2 linked regions of the Oryctolagus cuniculus genome follow. The protein of the gene in region 2 interacts with the protein of the main gene of each other region in a biochemical or structural test. Links are inferred from orthologs where the notes say so. Each region holds a gene or a part of one and is shown on either strand. Other genes may lie near its edges.

Region 1 (10,013 bases), on a different chromosome or scaffold from region 2:
CGGGCTTCAGTCAGCACACAGCAGCGGCTTCCCTGAGATCTTGAGGTCATCAAAGGGCAACAGAGTAAGGGGCTGAGAAAGAAAGCAGAGAAGCAAGATCAGAGGCCCAGAGGCCCTGGGGAAAGGCGTGTGGGGAGGTGACCTAGGGGAACCTGCTGGGCCACTCCCTCCCTGCCAAAAGACAGCTGAAGACCAAGGAACAGGTCTTCAGAGAATTCCCCAAGCAGCTGGCCCCTCTGGGCAGAGCCCTGAGGCCTTGGGCAAGCTGAGGCCTTGGGCAAGCTAATGCCAGAGCTGGGAGGGACATCAGAGCCGGCCCATTGAGCTTTCCTTGGCTGCTTTTGGGGGTAGGGGAGTGCTCAGAAAACATTTTGACTATCTTTCTACATTGAACTTTTGTTCCCACAGTAGGTGAATGGCAGAGTCCTGGTTTCACGGCAGGCCCTTTGGGCTAATGCACCTGTCTCTGCTGTCAGTGAGGGCAGCCCTAGAGAGCGGAGTGAGGGCAGCCCTAGAGAGCGGAGCGGAACGCACGCCTCTTACATCCTCAGCGAGGTCCTGGGGCGTCTCGTCCTCCACGTTCCTCAGCAGGGAGTCAGCGCCCGCCTCGCACAGCGTGGCTGATATGCTGCCGAGGCCCCGGCCGGCTGCCAGGTGCAGGGGCGTGCAGCCGTTGAGCATACGGGCGTCTACTCGGGCCCCGGCCTGCAGCAGGAACTGCACCAGGCCCCGCTCCTGGGTTTCCACGGCCAGGTGCAGCGCTGTCTTCCCACTGGTGCCCTCCTGCAGGGGGAGGAAGGGTGTCAGCATGCCGGGCTGGGCTCTTGATGAAGTTGGGCGTGCCAGCACACAGGTAGGGGCAGGGCTGTGGGCCCCCCCCGCAGCACCTCACCTGTGCGTCAATGTCGGCTCCGTTCTGAAGCAGTAGCTCCATGAGTGGCTGGTTCCTCTGCAGGGTGGCGATGTGGAGACAGGCCAGCCCTGGGATGGGGGAGGGTACTGCTGATCTTCGGCCACCACTCCCACCCTCCACCCCCCCCAGGCCCCAAGGGACCCACTGCTCACTCGGTGCCTCTAATCACAGGACCGTTAAAATGCACACCAAAAACTCCCTCAAAAGTCTGAGGGGGAAAGGAACTCAAAGTTTCCAGCTTTTCAGTCATGTTATTGAAACCTTCATGCTTCAGGGGGCAGGCTGCTGAGTGCCGCCCCCGGACGCACGCCCCCTCCACACACACACACACACACACACACACACACTGCACCTGCTTTCAGGCCAGGCTGAGGCCACATCTCTGAGAGTCTCTCAGGGATCCCCGGTTCCCAGCCCTCCCCAGGCCCTGTCTCCTCCTGCCTGTAGCCTCCCGCCCTTTGTGCTACTGCCTCCTGCCGGGCTGGACCCCACCTCTGCTCAGCGTACGTCCTCCACCCCTACAAGTCTCTGATCAGATGTCCCTGGCTCCACGATGCCCTCCCTGACCATCCAATTGTCAAAGCACATCCAGGGGGCTGGCACAGAGGCACAGTAGGCTAAGCCAGTGCCTGCAGTGCCGGCATCCCACAGGGGCGCTGGTTTGAGCCCTGGCTGCTCCACTTCCATTCCAGCTCCCTGATAATGCACCTGGGAAAGCAGTGGAAGGTGGCACAAGTCCTTGGGCCCCTGCACCCATGTGGGAGACCTAGAGGAAACTCCTGGCTTCAGATCAGCCCAGCTCCAGCCACTGCAGCCAACTGGGGAGTGAACCAGCAGATGGAAGACCTCTCTTTCTCTCTCCCCCCTTCTCTTTCTCTCTTCTGCTCCCTCTATAACTCTGCCTTTCAAATAAATGAATAAAATCTTCAAAAGGAAAAGCACACATCCACTCTCCAGCCCCCTCATCGCAGCCCCTCTCCCTCTGCTCTGCTCTGCCAGCGCTCACTTCTCTGACTGTAGCTGTACCCTCCAGTTAGGTTTGCTGGTTTGCTGCCAGTGGCACACTGGCTCTGCTGGCTCCCAGGTGTAATCGCTCCCAGGATAGTGTTGGGGGTGCCTGGAAGGGCCCTTGGGACATTTCTGGTGTATGAGTGAATGAGTCCTCATGACCTCTGGGAAGCTGAACTCTTAAGGGCCAAGATCCACCTTTCTGATCAGCACACGACAAGCGGGGGATAAACTCTAAATCCAACCATTCACTCATCCCTTCCTTCAGTACCTATGTGCTTGGAGCCAGAGGGGTGGGGTGGGGAAATCTACGGACAGCAGGGGGCCCCTCCCCTCCCCCCTCCTGTCCCCGGGACTGCCCGCACCTTGCCAGTTCTGCAGCTGGAGATCCAGGGAGTGAGGCGGTCCTCTTCCTGGTTCCGGCTGGCCCTCCAGCAGGCAGCGGGCACAGGCCAGGTGCTGGCGCTGGCAGGCCACATGCAGGGCCGTGTCACCGTGCCGGTCCTGCAGCACCCTGCTGGCCCCCTTCAGCACCAGTGCCTGCACTGCGCCCGGCTGGTCCAGGTGCACGGCCAGATGGAGGGCCGTCTGTAGGCACAGACAGAGGGTCACCGGGGGCAGGCGCCTCCCTCGGGAATGTCTAGGGGGCCACCCTCTGTGAGAGCAGCTTACAGGTGCCACAGCCCTGGTCTTCCAAGGAAATACTACCAAGTCTTCCCTGCATCAGCCCCCCACCCAGTTCCAGGACTCCAGTTTGGGAAGCAGGGTGAGGTCCTCTGCTCTTCTTGTGGGTCCCCATTAGCCTCCAGAGCCAGAACACATGGGGACAGACTCTAGCCCCTCCCACTGTGGGGAAACCCCTGGGCAGGAAACAGGGCTTAGTTTGAGGTTGGAAAGATGGGGGCATCAGGCAGTTTCTACATGGCAAATGCCTCTTTGAAGACTCCACTTAGAAGCCACCTCCTGTGGCTGGTGGCACCCCCTGGCTGCTTCACGTGACACCCCCCCTCCTCCCCCATCACCGAGCTGCGTGGCTGGAGTCCCCAGCCTGGGCTGAGGGCACTGTGGGTAGAGGCTGTGCCTTATGCATCACCAGCCCCAGCTCCTCGCTCTGTGGCTGGCACTGGGTTACCCGCGCGAGCGGCCAGGGCAGACGTGGGCACCTGAGCACTGGCCCTCCTCCCCACCCACCTGGTAAAGGTTGTTCTGAATGTCCAGGACCTCCTGTGGCAGCAGAGCCAGGCAGCACAGCAGCATGGCGGGGGCTTCGTGGATCACTGCCAGGTGTACCAGCCTGGAGGAGCAGCGCAGGGCTCAGGGTCAGGGCCCGGGCCGGGGCCGGGGCCGGGGGTGGGGTCTGGGAACTCGGTACAGAAGGCACACAGCAGCCTCTAACTAGCTACCCACGGGGTAGGTGCAGGAAGTGAGACTTTGAGCCAGGAAGTGAGGGTTGGTGTGGAAAGCCAGAATCCCGTGGGTGGGAGCTCCAAGTTCCCATCCCTGGCCTTCAGGAAGGCTTTGGCTGGGTGGGCACGTGGGCAGGGTGCTGACGGCACAAGGGCCTTCCTGTCCGGCCTGCCCACACCCCACTCTCCTCTGCCCCCGGGGCCCTGCCCGGCCAGCTGCTGCTCCGGGGCAAACTGAAAGCGGCCGGCCTGGTGAAGAGGGGGTTTTCCACAGCCCAGGGCCCCACCTCCTCTCCCCAACAGGGAGGCCAGTGGGAGGCCGATGCGGGGTCCCACCCTGGCCTCTGGGTGTCACAGAGTCCCAGGGGAGGCAGCCAGCCCTGCTCCCACAGCACTGCCCAGAGACCCACCCCTGTGGTGTGCACCACCAAGGGGAGGGCTGGGCAGTGCACAAAGTGTGTGGCAGGGGCAGGCAGGCGGGGGCCCAGAGCTTCTGCCCTGGGGTGAGGGGGGCGGCTGCAGGGGAAGTTCCAGTCCTGGGGTTTCCCCACATCAGGTGGGGAAAATGAAAGCGGAGCTGGAGGGTCTCAGCCAGGACAGCTGCCTCAGGCACGAGCCAGGGGAGTAGCTGCCTGGGCTGGGGAGGGGGCTGCTCAGGCAGGAGGGGCCGGGCTTTGGCCCAGGACAGAGTGAGAGGGAGGCAGCAACGGCTCTGGAAATCCCCTCGGCCAGGGCCTGCCCTCTGGGTCACATTCCTGCAGCCACCTCCCTTCTTCCCTGCAGCTCCCCGCCCCCTGCCCCCTCCCACTTCCTTTTCCCACTTCCACACCTCCTGCGGCCCAGACACCTCCAAGGCAGGCAAGGGCCCCTCCTCTTCTTTGGTGGCCGCGCTGGGGAATCCTGACACTTGTCCCTCGGCTGGACCCAGCACCTGGCGCTAGCCAGAGCTGGTAGAAAGGGTGGCGTTAGGCAGTGTCAGAAGGCTCCACTCCCTGGACCGAAGGTCAGCATGGAGCCACCAGCACCTTGGGGTGCTGGGCCTGGGGGCTGCTGATCCAGGCTCAGAGTCCCAAGAGGCCTGTGGTGATCTCTGTGAGTGTTCAGAAGTGCATCTCAAGGAGGCGAGACGGGACAGGAAGCTCCTGCCTCCCCTGCCCGTGCATCTCCGATCTGGACTCCAGCCCTCCCCTACTCCCCTCCCCAGTTTTGGAGTTCAAAATCCCGGCCACTCCCTCTTGTTGCTGGTTTTCTTCTTCCTGGGGGCCAAGATCTTAACTGGCTTGTCCATCCCACCCTACAGCTGCTTCTAGTTCAACTGCCCCCTGTCCGAGTCCCCGCCAAATTCCACCTGGGCCCCGGGGAAGGGTAAAATGAGGGCGGAGCACAGCACACAGAGGGGGCTGGGGGGCTCAGGAGATGGAGGCTGAGAGGGAGTCTGGCTGGCTCCAGCCCTCACTTCCCCTTCGCCAACAGACAAGGAAGTAGGCCCGGGGCATCCAGCTGCCTGTGAGTCTGCTGGGGCCAGTGCCCCAGGCTAGCTCGTCCCCTCCTCCTTAGGGCCAGCCCCAACCCTAGCACCTAGCTTTCCCGGCCCTGACAGCAACCTGTAACTGGCACCTCTTGTTCCTTGAGACAGGGCATTCTGAGGTCAGGAGCAAACAAGGATGCCCCCTCCCCCAGCAAGAAAACAAAGCTGGACTGGTCAGGGGAATTCTCTCTTCCCAAGAGTGGGTTAGTGGTGATTTCCAAATGCTGGCCGCCTAGGTGAGGGCGTGCCAGCGCTGCCCATCCCCTGCCAGGGGGCCGAGTTAGGTGTGGAGTGAGTTAGGAGCTAGGTGTGGACAGTGGGGCTGTCCCTCCCAGGGCGGGTGCCTGCAGGGTCCCCCCCCCCCCCAGGTGCAAGCCTAGCTCCCCCACTCACGTGTCTCCGTCTTCTGAGATGTAAGTGAGCGCTTCCAGCTGCTGAGGGCTCAGCGGCCCCGCGCGGGGCAGCGGCGAGCCTGGGGCCAGGGCCTCGGCCTCGGCTTCTGGGCCCCCCAGCAAGGACAGGGACTCCGTGAGCGAGGAGGAACCATAGGTGGAGTCAGCCCGCTCCCCGTCGGCGTCTTCCTTCTCCTGTGGCACCTTGGTGGTCCCCCGAGGATGGGTCCAGGGCTGGCGTCCGCCGCCGTCCGAGGGCGCAGCGGCTGAGGTCGGCGTGGGCTCGGGCAGGGAGCGCAGCGACCGCAGAGACTCTATGCCCGAGTCACACTGGCCCTCGTCCGCCTCGTCCGGCTCCTTGCGCGCCTCCGACATGCCCGCGGCGCCGGCCCGCGGGGCCCGGTGCGCGCAGGAGCTGGTGCCGACCCCGCCGCGCCGCCTTTCCGGGTCGCCGGTCCGCCTGGCAGAGCGCGCGCCCGGCCGCAGCGGCCTCGCTCCCGAGCCGCCGGAGTCCGAGGGGTCCGCGAGCGCCGGCGGGGTCCGCCGCAGCGGGTACCCTGGACAGCTGGACCGCCCAATCGGGTCCTCCCCGGGCCCCGCCCCTCGGGCCAACGAGGGAGCCGCGCGCCCGCCCCGCCCCCGACGGGCGCTTCCGGGCCGAGGCCCCGCCCCTCCGGAATCCCCCTTTCCGCGCGGCGTGCGTAGGTTCGGGGTCTGTGGTTAGCTGGTCCTGACTCACTGCTCCGGGGACGAATTCGGCCGGCCGGGCGGCCGTGTGTCCGTGCGTCCGTCCGTCCGTCCACTCCTTTTTCCTTCTCCATTCTGCGCCTTCATTGCATCCATTCATTCTGTCCTAAACTTCTGTGCCTTGATCCGCTGGTTTGATTTAGGGGGATGTTTCTTGGTCGTCTCCACGGGCTGGGCTGCTGCTGGTGGGGTGGGTACGCGGCTGGTGGGATGGGCTGGCGTGGCTTCCTCCCGTTTCTCTCCATTTCCCTTGCTTTCTCATCTTTCCTTATTAGGACCCAGGAGTCTGGGACGGGAGGGGGAGAGGGCACCTGTTATCCTAACGGAAAGGGGTGGGAGGGGCAGTTTTTCCTTGGGGTCCCTGTGTCGGTTCCCCAGGTCACGTGGATCGGGCATGGCGAAGTGCTTTTGCAGAGTGAGCTTTCGCAGGCCGACTCTTGTCTGAGCAGCACAGCGGGGCAGGGGGTTTCTGGCCTCAGGCGGTTACAGCGTCTGGTTACCCCTCGCGGTCAGGGACGTTTAGTTCCTCGTGGTGGGGCCAGGATGGGGAGGCCCCAGACATGCCGGGCTGCACTCTGCTGAGGTCTCCACCCCGCCCCAATCCCAGCCCCCACGACATCTGCGCTCCTTCCCTGTCCCTGCTTTCCCAGGCCGGGGCGCCACCCACAGGTGAGCCCCAAACAGGTGCCCCATGATTTACTCCTTTGTTGCTTCTTCCTGCTCCCAGTGCACTGCCAGCCTAGGGCCAGCGATGCCCGTAGGGTCTCATCACGGACAGGTCCACCACTCTCCATCTCTGGCAGTGGGGAAGCAAGCTGGGGTGGGTGTCGTGGGCACTTGTCCACTCAGCCACGGGACAGCCATGGACAGAGTTTCTGCGTGGCTGGAGGTGGAACCAACTGTCACAGCAATGACCAAGGACCTTCACGCCCATCTGCAAAACACCTCCCACCCCCTCCCTGTCCTCACAAAGCCCCCCTGGCAATTCCAACAGAGGGTGGCTGTGCTAAGACCACAGTGAGAACAGCTGTTGTGGGGACACAGAGTGGGGCCAAGCCACCCACTGGAGTGAGGGGCTGGGAAGCTTCCCTGGGAACAGAAATGGGAAGGGAAGTGGTGGGGGCAGGGTGGGGGGGGTAGAGGCTTCCCCAGAGTTTTGCATCCCCTGGAGGACCGGAGTGGGAGGATGTGTCAGCATGAGACAGCCAGGAGCCCCGGATGGGGAGAAAGCCCCAGGAAGCCATGTCCCTCCCTCCCTTGGGGTCACTGATTTCAGATGTCCTCAGCCTCCTTCCCTGACGTGTTTCTCTCCTAGACTCAAAAGCTGGAGCAGGACCCAGCGTTCAGCCCGGTGGTTAAAATACGGGTTGTCCACATCCCGCAGCAGAGTGCTTGGGTTCAAGTCCCAGCTCCATTCCCAGTCCCCTGGGAGGCAGCAGCAGGTGCCCAGGGAGCAGGTAGCTGGCTCCCTGCCGACCATATGGGAGTCCTGGATTGATTTCAGGCTTTGGCCTGACCCAGCACTGGCTGCTGCCAGCATTTGGGGAAAGACCCAGCAGATGGAAGCTTTCTCTCCCTTTCTCTCTGTCTGCCTCTTAAGTAAATTAAAAAAATCTATTTATGATTGTCAACTTGAAGGGCAAAGCAACACAGAGAGGGGGAGGGGAAAAGATAGAGCTATCTTTCATCTGCTGATTCATTTCCCAAATGCCCACAATGGCCAGGGCTGATCTGAACTCCAAGCCTGGTCTCTCACATGGGTGGCAGAGGCCCAAGAACCTGAGTCATCTGTTGCCTCCCAAGATGCAATAGCAGGAAGCTGTATCAGAAACAGAGTAGCTGGGACTGGAACTGACACTGATATGGGTGGGTGTTGCACGAGCAATGGCTTAATCCACTGGCCCACAACACATGCCCATGCCCCTCAAATACATTTTTTTGAAAGGCAGAGCTAGAGAGAGACAGAAAAGGAGGTCTTCCATATGCTGGTTCACTCCCCAAATGGCCACAATGGCCAGGGCTGGGCCAGGTGGAAACCAGGAGCCAGGAGCTTCTTCTGGGTTTCCCACATGGGAACAAGGGCCCAAGCACTTGGGCCATCTTCATCTGCTTTCCCAGGTGCATTAGAAGGGACCTGGATCAGAAGTGGAGCAGCTGGGACATAAACCAGTGCCAGTATGGGATGCTGGTACTGGGTGGCAGCTTAACCCACTATGCCACAACACCAGCCCCAATACATTTTTTAAAAAAGCATTACTTATTCTTTTTGACAGGCAGAGTAGACAGTGAGAGAGAAAAAAGTATTACTTATTTTAAAGTCAGAGTTTTATTTATATATTCTATCTGCTGGTTCACTCCCCAAATGGCCCAGTGGCCAGAGCTGGGCCAGGTCGAAGCTGGGAGCCTAGAACTCCATTCGGGATTCCCACATGAGTGGCAGGGGCCCAAGCATGGGGACTATCTTCTGTTGCTTTCCCAGGCATATTAGCAGGGAGCTGAATCAGAGGTGGAACAGCAGAGTTGGCGCTGTGGCACATTGGATTAAAGCCCTGGCCTGAACCACCGGCATCCCATATGGGTGCTGGTTCCAGCCCCACTGCTCCACTTCCAATCCAGCTCTCTGCTATGGCCTGGGAAAGCAGCAGAGGATGGCCCAAGTGCTTGGGCCCCTGCCCCTACTTAGGAGACCCAGAGAAAGCTCCTGGCTCCTGGCTTCTGAACAGCTCAACTCTGGTCGTTGCAGCCATTTAGGGGAGTGAACCAGCAGGTGGAAGACCTCTCTCTTTCTCTCTCTCTCTTTCAAATAAATAATTTTTTTTGAATCAGTGCTCTTATGGGATGCTGACATCACAGGTGGTGGCTTAACACTACCCCTCAAATAAAATTAAAAATTTGTTTTTCTTAAAGTAAAAGTACTGCCACAAACCCCAGACCCAGACTACTTGGGTTCAAAACCTGGCATGACCACTCCCACCAGAGAGGTGAGCTGACTTGCTCAAGATTCAACAGGAGGTGCAGAGCTGGGGTCTTCTGATCTGATCCAAAGCTTTTTCAGTGAACCCTTTCCTTAGCAAAATCTAAACCACACGAGGCAGGCATCTGAGCCCTCTGCAGGTACACAAGAACTCAGGAGGGTGCAATGACCGCCATTCTAATTCCTACAGAGGCTGAAGTCAAGGAAAAATCCATCCCAAGCCAGACTAATAATGTCTGGCTCTGAGCTATAACAGGTGTGTGGCAGTCCCCTCTCCCACCACATGAGGTCAGCATCGAGTCACCCACGGCTTCTAGCACCAGTGCCTCCCCTATTATCAGGGAGCTCTCCTGTCAATCCAGGACTGGGGAGACAGACCATGGAGTGTTATTTGGAAGGATGACCTGGGAACTTTGAATCAGGCTGCAGCGTGGTCAGGGCTCTGACATCACCTCCTCAACAGCAGTCCTCTTGGAGGCTGGGTCCCTCCAGCCTTCTCTCTGCTGCTTCCTGGATTCCCTTTGTCGTACCCCTACTCCCTACCCCCACCCACCCCAGCCAGGCTCATCTTCAGGGAAACAGGCCCGGTTTCCATGGTGACCAGCCGGTCAGCTGGCTCCTTCCCCCGCCCCCTCCCTTCACCCCCCTTCTCCTGGAGCTTCCAGGGACGGGTAATGTGTGTGAATGGGAAGGCAGGGGTGGTCTTTTGTCTCCTGGGAGCTCTGGGTTTGGTTGTCCACCCTCCAAGACCCTTGAAGTAGAGACAGGAAGACAGTGCGGGGTCAGGAGGAAGATGACAATAGCCACATGGGGATGGGAGGCTCCCGTGAGAGTTAGGAAGGGCCAAGGTGAGGCGCTCTGCTGGCAGAACAGGCGGAAGCCTGGCTGGGAGAGGCTGGAGTTAGCTGCGAGGCAGACGTCCCAAGAAGCACTGGGTGCTGCACTGGCAGCAGCCGGCCCCTGGGAGCCTCTTCTGTCACCAGGAGGGAATGAGGACCCTGCCTCTTCTGGACCACCTCCCCCCCCCCCCCAAACTGGGAGGGCC
Region 2 (10,074 bases):
CTTCTTAATTGGTAGAGTCTCATTAACAACCAAGTAATAGAATTTATTATAATATCCTACATACCCTTAGCTGGAAATAATCTCCTCCTCCTACAAACTACCACACGTATTTTGTTCATAGCAATTATTCCAAAGAACTATTTTAGGGAAGGCTTGTTTTATTTGTTCTTGAAATAAAGCTACTTTGTTTTATTCCCTCAAACTACCTGAAGGCAGAAATTTTCTTACTCATTAGTGCCTTTTACACAGAGGACATTCAGTAAATATTTGTTGAGTGAACTGAAAAATCTAAAGTTTCTGTGTTGTACTAGTTATTCAAACATTAAAGAACTGTTTTAGTGATTAGATTTTCTTTTAGGTTCCGCTGCTATGAAAAAAATACTGCTTTGTAGCTACTACAATTGCTACACTTTTATAATTTGCTCATACCATTCATATTCTGATTTCTTTATCTGTAATTATTTAAAAAGAACTACCCAGCTATAAATCACAAAATGTACAATGCACCAGTATCTCTTTCCTCAGTGCTCTATTTTTCAGAGCCATTCTTTTTGAAGATAAAAAAATACTAAAATTTAGCCATCTGTGGAGCTGAAGAAGGTAAATAAAAACTGTAGAACTGGAAGGAAAATGAGTACTGATAAGACAACTACAAATCACCAGTTTTGAAAAGCACTGAAATGTCCTCAAGATCAGTTCTAAACAAGTTGACTACTGCTTTTCTCTTTGACCAATATGATGTGGAGTTGGAATTGACCCTTACCTTTTGCACAGCATTATAAAATGCTAATACAAATCACAATAACATCTGAAATACAACCCAACTGTTTGCAAATATATTTATGTTTTTATTTGTACTTAGGTTAAAAAGTCCTATAACAAAACAATGCCTATTTTAATACTTAAGAATTACATTAAAATAAAAAGTTTAAAATGGATTATCAGTTGTCAGAAATACACATTAACTAAAATCTTATCGCTAAAATTAGGAAATAATAATAAGTGCACTGGAAATTTTTTAATTACAAATAGTAATTATACAATTTTGAAGCACTTTTATATACATTTCTCATTTGGTACCCTTAATCTTCATAAAAACTGAACAAGAATTATTATCCTATTTTACAGTTCAAAATTATATGAAGTTATAAGAAAATGCAATTATGAACATCAGCCAGTTGAGGGCTAGGATCTCAGGATGCCAAATTTAGAAAACAACCAGCATCAAGGCAGCTGGGGGATATAGTCACAATTACTGATAGAACAAATAACGTGCAATCTAAGATATACGCAAACTAATTTACGAAGATAATGGATGGATTTTGGTACAGACAACGAAATCCCCAGGAAAAGTTCACTCTGGGGTGTCTATCAGAACCACCTAGGTAACTTTTCCAAAATATCTGTGCCCTGACTTTGTCTGAAATCTGAAAAGAAACAGAAATCTTGAAGAGTAAATCGCAGACATATTTCTGAAAAAGACTTGCAACCAATTCTACGACATTCTGGATTAAGATCCATGGCCTTAAAACATCAAACAGTGGAATGAATGATGCATATATCTAGAGAAGCAATCCAAAAATTGAGGACTGGGTCATGGGTAAGCTGTATGGACTGGGTCATGGATAAAATAGGAAAAGCAATTCTGGCTACTTGCAACCCCTTTTTCTTGCCCACTCAAAAAAGCTTCTTTAACTACAAGCAAGCAAGACAGATGTGATTATAGGGAAAGACTTCAACTACTGTAATTTACTTAAAAAAAAGTCACTTGCAAAATAAATGTTTTAATAATAATCAATATATACTTCTTGCAATACAGCATACAAATAATTGTTAGGTCAGTGTGCCAACACCCCAGTTGAGAGATGTCCTAGACAAGACTGCCTCAGACCCAAAGGAGCAAAAAGGGATAACAATAAATACTTTTCTAAAGATCACCTATATTCACTAGGAAAAGAAAATAAAATTTCTTCTGTTTTACTCAAGTGGGTTTATATAGGGTTAAAGGTGAGATCTGTTCCAATATAAAGCTGACTTTCAACTGGACCTGAAAAACCTAAGAAAGGGAATTTTCTGATACATCTATGACAACAAAGTAAATAAAAGATGTAAAAGATTTTGGCAATAGACCACGGGGGAAATCAAGTCTTGAAAAACCTTTCTACCTATCAGTGATAACTAGAGAAATATCTTAAAATATGAATTTCAGATAAACAATTTTTTGTGTAAGTGTATTCTATGTAATATTCAGTCATGTGTCTACAAAATGCAGAGAATGAAGGTGACAGAAAGTTGGAAAGAAATTCTGTGTCCCTTAAACTATTTGAAAAAAGATACTACACACCTCAGATGTTCCTAATTATGATTCATTATCTGAACCCCTTCTTAGTCATTTCATTCGTTCATTCCCTTTATGTCTATCATCTAACACCTTTTATGCCACTGCTATCTCTATACTTTTTCGTGTGTTGCATTTCTGAAACATCTGTGGGCTTTTACTTGAAAAAAAAAAAAAGAAGTCATTTGCTTTAACTACCCATTCCTAACTTCCAGCTTCATTATTAAAGATCATGTTGCTTCATGCTCACATCTATTTTTTCCCATTAACACTACAAAGAATTGTTAAGTAGTGAGGTTTACATAGACAATTGCTTCATGTACTACCTATTGCATGACATAGCAGAACCATATGCTAAAGAAAAATGTGAATAAATTATATAAATGTTAAAACATTTACTAGAGATAGTATTATCAGTAAACAAAGCCATGTTTACTAGAACAATGAGAGACTTCAAAATCAGACATAAAATACTTCATTTTACTTATATTAAAAATATATGAATACTTGCTACCTAATTAGGTATACCTTAGACAGGTCTGGGAACATTTTTCTTCACTATGCCTATTCAACTTAATTGTGTCAAAAGACTGGAATCACGGTGTGCTAATTTTTAAAAAGAGAATGAAAAAGTTTAATAGAATCCAAACTGTGAAATCTAAAACAATGAATCCGATGATTTACCTGAACAAACTTTAGAACCATGTATAAAGTTCTAGCTACTGCTGGCACTTATTAATTCTGCTTATGAGATTATGATCTGTGTTCCTTTTACATTAAAGACATCACCTACTCAATCGCACATACCTATTTACATATGACATCCGGTGAGAAATGAAGAAATGGTCTCACATGCTTGGTAATCAATAAAAATATTTTTTGAGGTTTTAATACCTTACTACAAACACAATCTAAATTAGACTATGATACACAATTTTTTTTCTGTTTGTTAAACTGCTTCAAAACAGGACAGGAATATTTAGTCAATCTTTTTCTCCAAGTTCTTTCTATCTAAGTAAAATACACCCAGACTCCTTTAACATTTGTTCTGCCTAGTGGTTTCAAACTAATTTAAATAACTTGTTATGTTTTAAAAGAGTTCCACTTTAATGTACCTCCAGAAAGACCAAAAAACAAACACCAAAAGGTATGACCTACAACTTGCAAACTTTTAAAGCTTTCCATTTAATTTTTCCCTTCAATTTAAAGAATCCTTAGTCCTCACAACAGCACACAATACAAAATTATTAAAAAGTTAGAAGGTATCACATTTTAAAATCATGCAAATCTTAACAATACTCTAAAGAATGTTTTTTTTTCTGTCTTTTGGAAAAACTCATAAATATTACATTCATGCAATAGCTTAATGAAGTGTGCTCAAATAGCCAGCCCCCCCTTTTTTTTTCACTTAAAACGCTCAGAATTCTTTACTACTTTCAAATAAAATCTTTCTGATAACCAATAAACTAAACAAACAGCTGTAGTTATCTGTATACTTTTAAACTAAGTGTGCTTTGAATGTATGAATTTATAAGATTACCTGAAAGTGTGGGGTCACCTAAGTGGGTAAAGGGAAAGTTGAAATATTTTAAACTCCACTTGAATTCTCACATGAAAACCACAAACTGAAATCAAATGTCATGTGAAACACCCCAATTTCCTTTTCAGCCTACAGCCATCGCAATGGCACTGCAGGGCTAGGCCCTTTAAAGAGGCTCCTTACGCTTGCTACTTCCTCTTCTCGACTCGAGGCCGGCCGGCTACCGAGGGTCACTCACCTGGGCCGGCTGGGGGACCGCGGGCCGAGCGCCAACAAGCCCTCCCTTTCGGCCTCCGGGCCTCTGCTCACGCTGCTCCCGGTACCTGCAAACGGCCCCTGGGCAGCCGCGGCCACCGGACTCAGCCGCCCTGGGTTCCCGGCAGCCCTGCTCCGCGGCTGCAGACGAGCCTGCCCCCAGCAGCCCTGCAAAGCCGCTTCTCGTAATAAACGCGTCTCACCGCCCCAAAGCGAGAGACCCAGGCATTTACGGACGGCCAACAAGCACATTAAACAAGCTGGTTGTTTTCACGAACACCCATTATGTTAAAGCACAGATATTAAAAAAAAAAAAAATCCTCGTTCCCTCTCTCATTTCCAACAAGGCGGTGGCGGGGAACTCAATGTCTCGGCTCGGTAACCTCGCAAAGTACGTGCGCCCGATTTCCCGGGGAAAATGCCCGACTTGGAGGACCAAACTTTCCGCTGGCGCCCGGCGAACCCGCCAGCGGCCACCTGTACAGCCGCGCCGCGCTCGGCCGACGGTCAGCGCGAGAGCGACCGCCGCTCGGCGCCCGACGGGACGAGGGCGCACGGCAGGCAGGAGCTCGCCCGAGGTCCCACGCTTCCTCATTCTCGTCCTAGACCCCAAGCCCACCATTTCGATACCAAGCAAGGCTCAAGGACGCGCACTCTTGGGCCCCCTCCGATCCGGACGGAGGCTTTCCTCACCCTGGCATCCCGGCGTGGGGAATTTCTCAGGTTTCCGGTTATGAAACTGGAATCCAATTACAGAGTCTGGCTTTGATTGCGCACGCAAACCCTGAGGCAGGTAACTTTTTCAAAGCCTGACAATTTGCCAGACGAGGCGATCTTTTAAGACGGAATCTGCCCCGATCCCCCCGACCCTCAGGGCAGCACGACCCCTACCCCCATCCCCCAAAAGAGCCCCCTTCGCTCCGGCCCTCGGCACCCAGCGCCGGGAACACTCACCTGAGGCCATGGCTCCGCTCATCGCGCCGCCCGCACACAGGCAGCTCCCAGCGTCCCGGCCCGAGGCGGCCGCAGACAGTCGGCCCGCCAGTCAGTCAGTCAGTCAGGAGGCCGCGGGACCTCTGCCGGCTGGACCCCAGTCCCCCGGACCACCCCCCGAGGCCTCCTCCTCCTTCCCGCCCTCCTCTGGGTTTGCGGCTCACACCTTCCCACCCCCTGAGTTCTCGCGCTGCGGGTCACCAGCGTCGCCCTTCCCGGGTGCCGGAGCCAGGGCCAAGGGGGCGGAGCGGGACGAGAGCCCAGCGCCGGCCGGGCCAGGAGGCGGGCAGCCAGGCGGGAGGGGGATTTCCCGCGGCTGACGTAGGCCCCCACGCCGCCGCCTTCCCCTGGGGGCGTGGGGCGGGGCGTTCTCGCGGCCGCGCGCGTGGCCGCCCTCGGCGGTCTCCGCCCCGCCCCGCGCGCGTTCCCGCCCCCGCCGCTGCGCTGAGGGCCTGGCAGCTGGGCGGCCGGCACGGGAACCCGGGATACTCGGGAGCGCCAGGGATCGCCCGGAGCCCGGAGCGTGAGAAGGCGGGCAGCTCCTGAGAAAGCCCCCTCCTCCAGGTTGTTCTTCCGAGCGAGTCTTAAAGTTCAGGAGCGGGTGGGAGGGCGCGCTGACGTGAAGAGGGCCGGCCGCCCGGGAGCGCGTGGGGGCGGGCCGCGCGGCGGAGTGGGCCCGGCCTCCCGGGGTTTTCGATGGGTGGTTCCCCCTCTTCCCGATTTCGCACATGCAAATCTCCGCCCCCGCGCCGGCGCGCGTCGTGGCCGCTCCGGAGGTGCGGAAGCGGCCGTCGCCTGCGTGCGCTTCGGATTCGTGTATTTGCATACGGGGACCCCCGCAATCTGATTTTTTACCTCTTTCTATCTAAATTTCTAGGGCTCGGTTAATTTCATGTCTTTGTGCCTGCCAGAACCTTTAACACCGAGAGGTCCGCGCGGCGAGTTCGTGGCCTCCCGGTGACGGACTGGGCTCGGGTTGAGGGAGGTGGCCACTCTGGCTTGGGCGTTGACAGCCACGGGGGGGAGTGGAACGAACAGTTCGTGCCTTCGAGAACCCGGTGTGATTTTGTTCCCATCATTTGCCAAGCACCTGCTGTGTGTCAGATGGCTTGTTCACCACATGTGTAGTGTATTATTATTACCCTTAGTTTCATGGGGTAAAGGGGTTCAGGGAAGGGGAAGCACAGGAACTTCTCTGTGCTTAAGAATCCTGCAAAAGGAAAGCAGGCTTAAACCCGAAGTTGTGCTACTCCGAAGCTCCACCCCCTTTTCCCTGCTGAAAAGATGCAGGGAAAGTGCCAGAAACTCGAGGACCCCGCTGTGGGTATAGTTAAAATCCTCCAACCCCAAAACATCCTCTCCACAAAATGTGCAAAGTACAGAAAGAATGAAACGGTTGTTTTCTTGGATAAGCATTAAAGCATACCCTGATATGCCTGTCACCGGCAGTGCACTGAAGATGGCAGAGCCGGAAAACTTCTCCCTTTTCATCTAACCAGACCTGTAGAATCCATTACCTACCTGTTAGTTGTCTTTCCTCAAAGGAGAAATCCTAGGAAGCCAAGGCTTAAACTCCCAAAGATAGGTAGATGGCGACCCATCCTCTTCGATTTTCACATTTCCGAAAGAGGCTGGCAAACTCAGGTGGGAGATGAGAATGAAGCTGCTGGCCCAGACCTGAGTTTTGAGGCTGTTTAGGGAATGAACCAATGGTTCCCTCTGCCTCTGCCTTCTCCTCCCCCTCAAACAAACAAAAATCAGCTGGCAGGGGATTTATTTAGCTTTTCAAAAAGGTGTGCATGATACATTTCAAAGGCAAAGCATTCACAATTTCAGTTTTTCTGAAGGAATTGCTAAATGGGAGCAAGTAGTATTTTTTGTGGTTTTTAGCACCAGGGATTTTTTTTTAATGTTTATTTATTTACTTTCATCTACTTGGAAGGCAGAGCAACAAAAACAGATTTTTCATTCACTGGCTCACTTCCCAAATGCCTCAAACAGCCAAGGCTGGGCCATGTGGAAGCCAGGAGCCCAGACCAACATTTTTGGGTTGCAGGGACCCCCAAGCACTTGGGCCAGTATCTGCAGCCCCCCAGGATGTCTTTCAAACCAATTTTTTCTTTTTTTTTTTTCTTTTTTTTTTTTGACAGGCAGAGTGGACAGTGAGAGAGAGAGACAGAGAGAAAGGTCCTCCTTTTGCCGTTGGTTCACCCTCCAATGGCCGCCGCGGCCGGCACGCTGCAGCCGGCGCACCGCGCTGATCCGATGGCAGGAGCCAGGAGCCAGGTGCTTTTCCTGGTCTCCCATGGGGTGCAGGGCCCAAGCACCTGGGCCATCCTCCACTGCACTCCCTGGCCACAGCAGAGAGCTGGCCTGGAAGAGGGGCAACCGGGACAGAATCTGGCGCCCTGACCGGGACTAGAACCCGGTGTGCCGGCGCCGCAAGGCGGAGGATTAGCCTAGTGAGCCGCGGCGCCGGCCTTTCAAACCAATTTTTAAAAATTATTTATTTATTTATTTGAGAGGAGAGGGAAAGGTCTTCCATCTGCTGGCTCACTCCCCAGATAACTGCAACAGCCATAGCTGGGCGGATCCAAAGCCCGGAAACAGGGGCTTCTTCCCAGGTCTCCCATGTGGGTGCAGGGGCCCAAGGACTTGGCCCATCTTCCACTGCTTTCCCAGGCCATTAGCAGAGAGCTGGTTTGGAAGAGGAACCACTGGGACATGAACTGGCACCAATATAGGATGCTGGTGCCCCAGGTGGAGGCTTAGCCTACTATACCACGGTGCCGGCCCCTCTAGAAGGCAATTAAAAATGTATGTGTAGGGGCCAGCATTGTGGTGTTGAGCTGCCACCTGCAGTGCTGGTATCCCGTATAGGCGTGGGTTCAAGTCCTGGCCGTTGCAGCCAACTGGGGAGTGAACCAGCGGATGGAAGACCTCTCCTTCTCTCTGTGTGTAACTCTTTCAAATAAATAAATGAAGCTTAAAAAGTATGTGTATATATTTAGTTGAAAGAGTCACAGAGAGGAAGAAACAATGATAATTTTTCTATTTGTCATGGTACTGACATTATAAAGAAGAACTTTTCTTGCCTTTTCCTATTTAAAAGTTTCATGGATTCTTATATTCATTGTATTATAACCTGTTACTGGCATCAAACCATTCCCATCTATGAAATCATAAGCTTCATCTTAGGAAATTTAGTGCAGCTACAGAATTTTGAACTAATTAATTTTATTTTTCATACATGTGCTTATTTAAATTAATACAATAGCATGTTTATATTTATTTTCAGGGCCGTTTTTTTCACATGACTCAGGGATTTATCTTGAAAATTCTTTTTCTGTAATGCTTCCACTACTTTTTGAATTAGTTGAAACTTTCCCCCAAAGATTTAGCCCATACCTGAAAAGCAAAATTACTTTATTCATGTGGGATAAACTTATTTAGGAAAAAGACAGCATGATGAATGAACTGCGAACAGTAGACATAGGTAGTGATTCTGATTTTTTTTAGGGAATCATGCAGGGAAAAAAAATGTATTACTCTATAGATGATAGGCAGCTAGTTGTTGGGGATTAAACAGGAGACTAGCATGTGGAATCTTCTCATGGGCTAAAGTCTTTGATACTTTCACTCAATTAAATAAATACCTGCTCTGTGCCAGCTGTTGTAGGTCAGCGTGGGGACCGTCAGACCCGCAGGTGGTATAAGGCCCATGAAATCGTTTGGTATGGCCCTGCCAAGGCAACTGCAGGTGATACTTGAAATTCAATAAATCAGTAAATCTACAGCAGGCTACTTTTTTAAGGATTTATTTGTTTATTTGAAAGGCAGAGTTACAGAGAGGCAGAGAGAGAGAGCAGGTCTTCCATTGCAATGGCCAGAGCTGCGCCGATCTGAAGCCAGGAGCCAAGAGCTTCCTCCGGGTCTTCCACATTGGTGCAGGGGCCCAAGGACTTGGGCCATCTTCTGCTGCTTTCCCAGGCCACAGCAGAGAGCTGGATCGGAGGTGGAGCAGCTGGGTCTCAAACTGGCACCCATATGGTATGCTGGCTCTGCAGGCAGCAGCTTTACCTGCTGCACCACAGTGCCGGCCTCATTTATCACTTTCTTTTTTTAAAGATTTATTTTATTTATTTGAAAGAGTTACAGAGAGAGGAAGAAACAGAGAGGTCTTCCATTCTCTGGTTCACTCCCCAAATGGCTGCAACGGCCGGAGCTGCGCTGTCCAAAGCCAGGAGCCAGGAACCAGGAGCCTCCTCCAGGTCTCCCACGCTGGTGCAGGAGCCTAAGGACTTGGGCCATCTTCTACTGCTTTCCCAGGCCATAGCAGAGAGCTGGATGGGAAGTGGAGCAGCCGGGACCAGAACCGGCACCCATATGGGATGCCGGTGCCTCAGGCCAGGGTTTTAACCTTCTGCACCACAGTACCGGCCCCCACTTTTATCACTTTTTAAACATTTTCAGCTTTCTTGGCTATTCGTTTCCCCTTCCTACTCCCTCATTCTCCACTTAAAATGCCCTGTCATCTCTGCACACAAAAAAGTTGAGTTCAGTTTACATTGGGCCCTCTTCTCTGTATATTAGTTGTTACTGGATATAATCTGTTTTTACCTCTTTTAACTAATATCTGGCTTTGTTATTGACATGGATTACATTTATTTAAAAATAGAGGCTGGCGTTGTGGCTTAGTAGGTTAAACCACCACCTGCAATACCGGCATCTGATATGGGTGCCAGTTCAGGTCCCAGCTGCTCCCTTTCCAATCCCCTTCCCTGCTAATGCGCCTGGGAAAGCAAAGGAAGACGGCCCAAGTGGTTGGGCCCCTATGCCCATATAGAAGACCCAGAAGAAGCTCCTGGCTCCTGGCTTTGGCCTAGCCCAGTACTGGCCATTGTGGTCATTTGGGATGTGAAGCAGTAGACAGAAGATCTCTCTCTCC

What was found.
Region 1: the proteins of REL (region 2) and NFKBIE form a complex in vitro, tested with the Homo sapiens proteins (2 studies listed by BioGRID). The link is inferred for Oryctolagus cuniculus from reciprocal best matches to the Homo sapiens genes REL and NFKBIE.

Annotation. Positions count from the first base shown.
Region 1 is NC_091436.1:125,865,510-125,875,522, reverse strand, and holds the start of NFKBIE (NF-kappa-B inhibitor epsilon), read right to left. Parts: upstream 5,840-10,013; 5' UTR 5,623-5,839; coding exon 5,249-5,622; intron 3,216-5,248; coding exon 3,113-3,215; intron 2,510-3,112; coding exon 2,287-2,509; intron 982-2,286; coding exon 893-981; intron 784-892; coding exon 544-783; intron 73-543; coding exon 7-72; 3' UTR 1-6. UniProt on the Homo sapiens protein: Sequesters NF-kappa-B transcription factor complexes in the cytoplasm, thereby inhibiting their activity. Sequestered complexes include NFKB1-RELA (p50-p65) and NFKB1-REL (p50-c-Rel) complexes.
Region 2 is NC_091433.1:141,818,864-141,828,937, forward strand, and holds the start of REL (proto-oncogene c-Rel), read right to left. Parts: upstream 5,399-10,074; 5' UTR 5,110-5,398; coding exon 5,088-5,109; intron 1-5,087. UniProt on the Homo sapiens protein: Proto-oncogene that may play a role in differentiation and lymphopoiesis.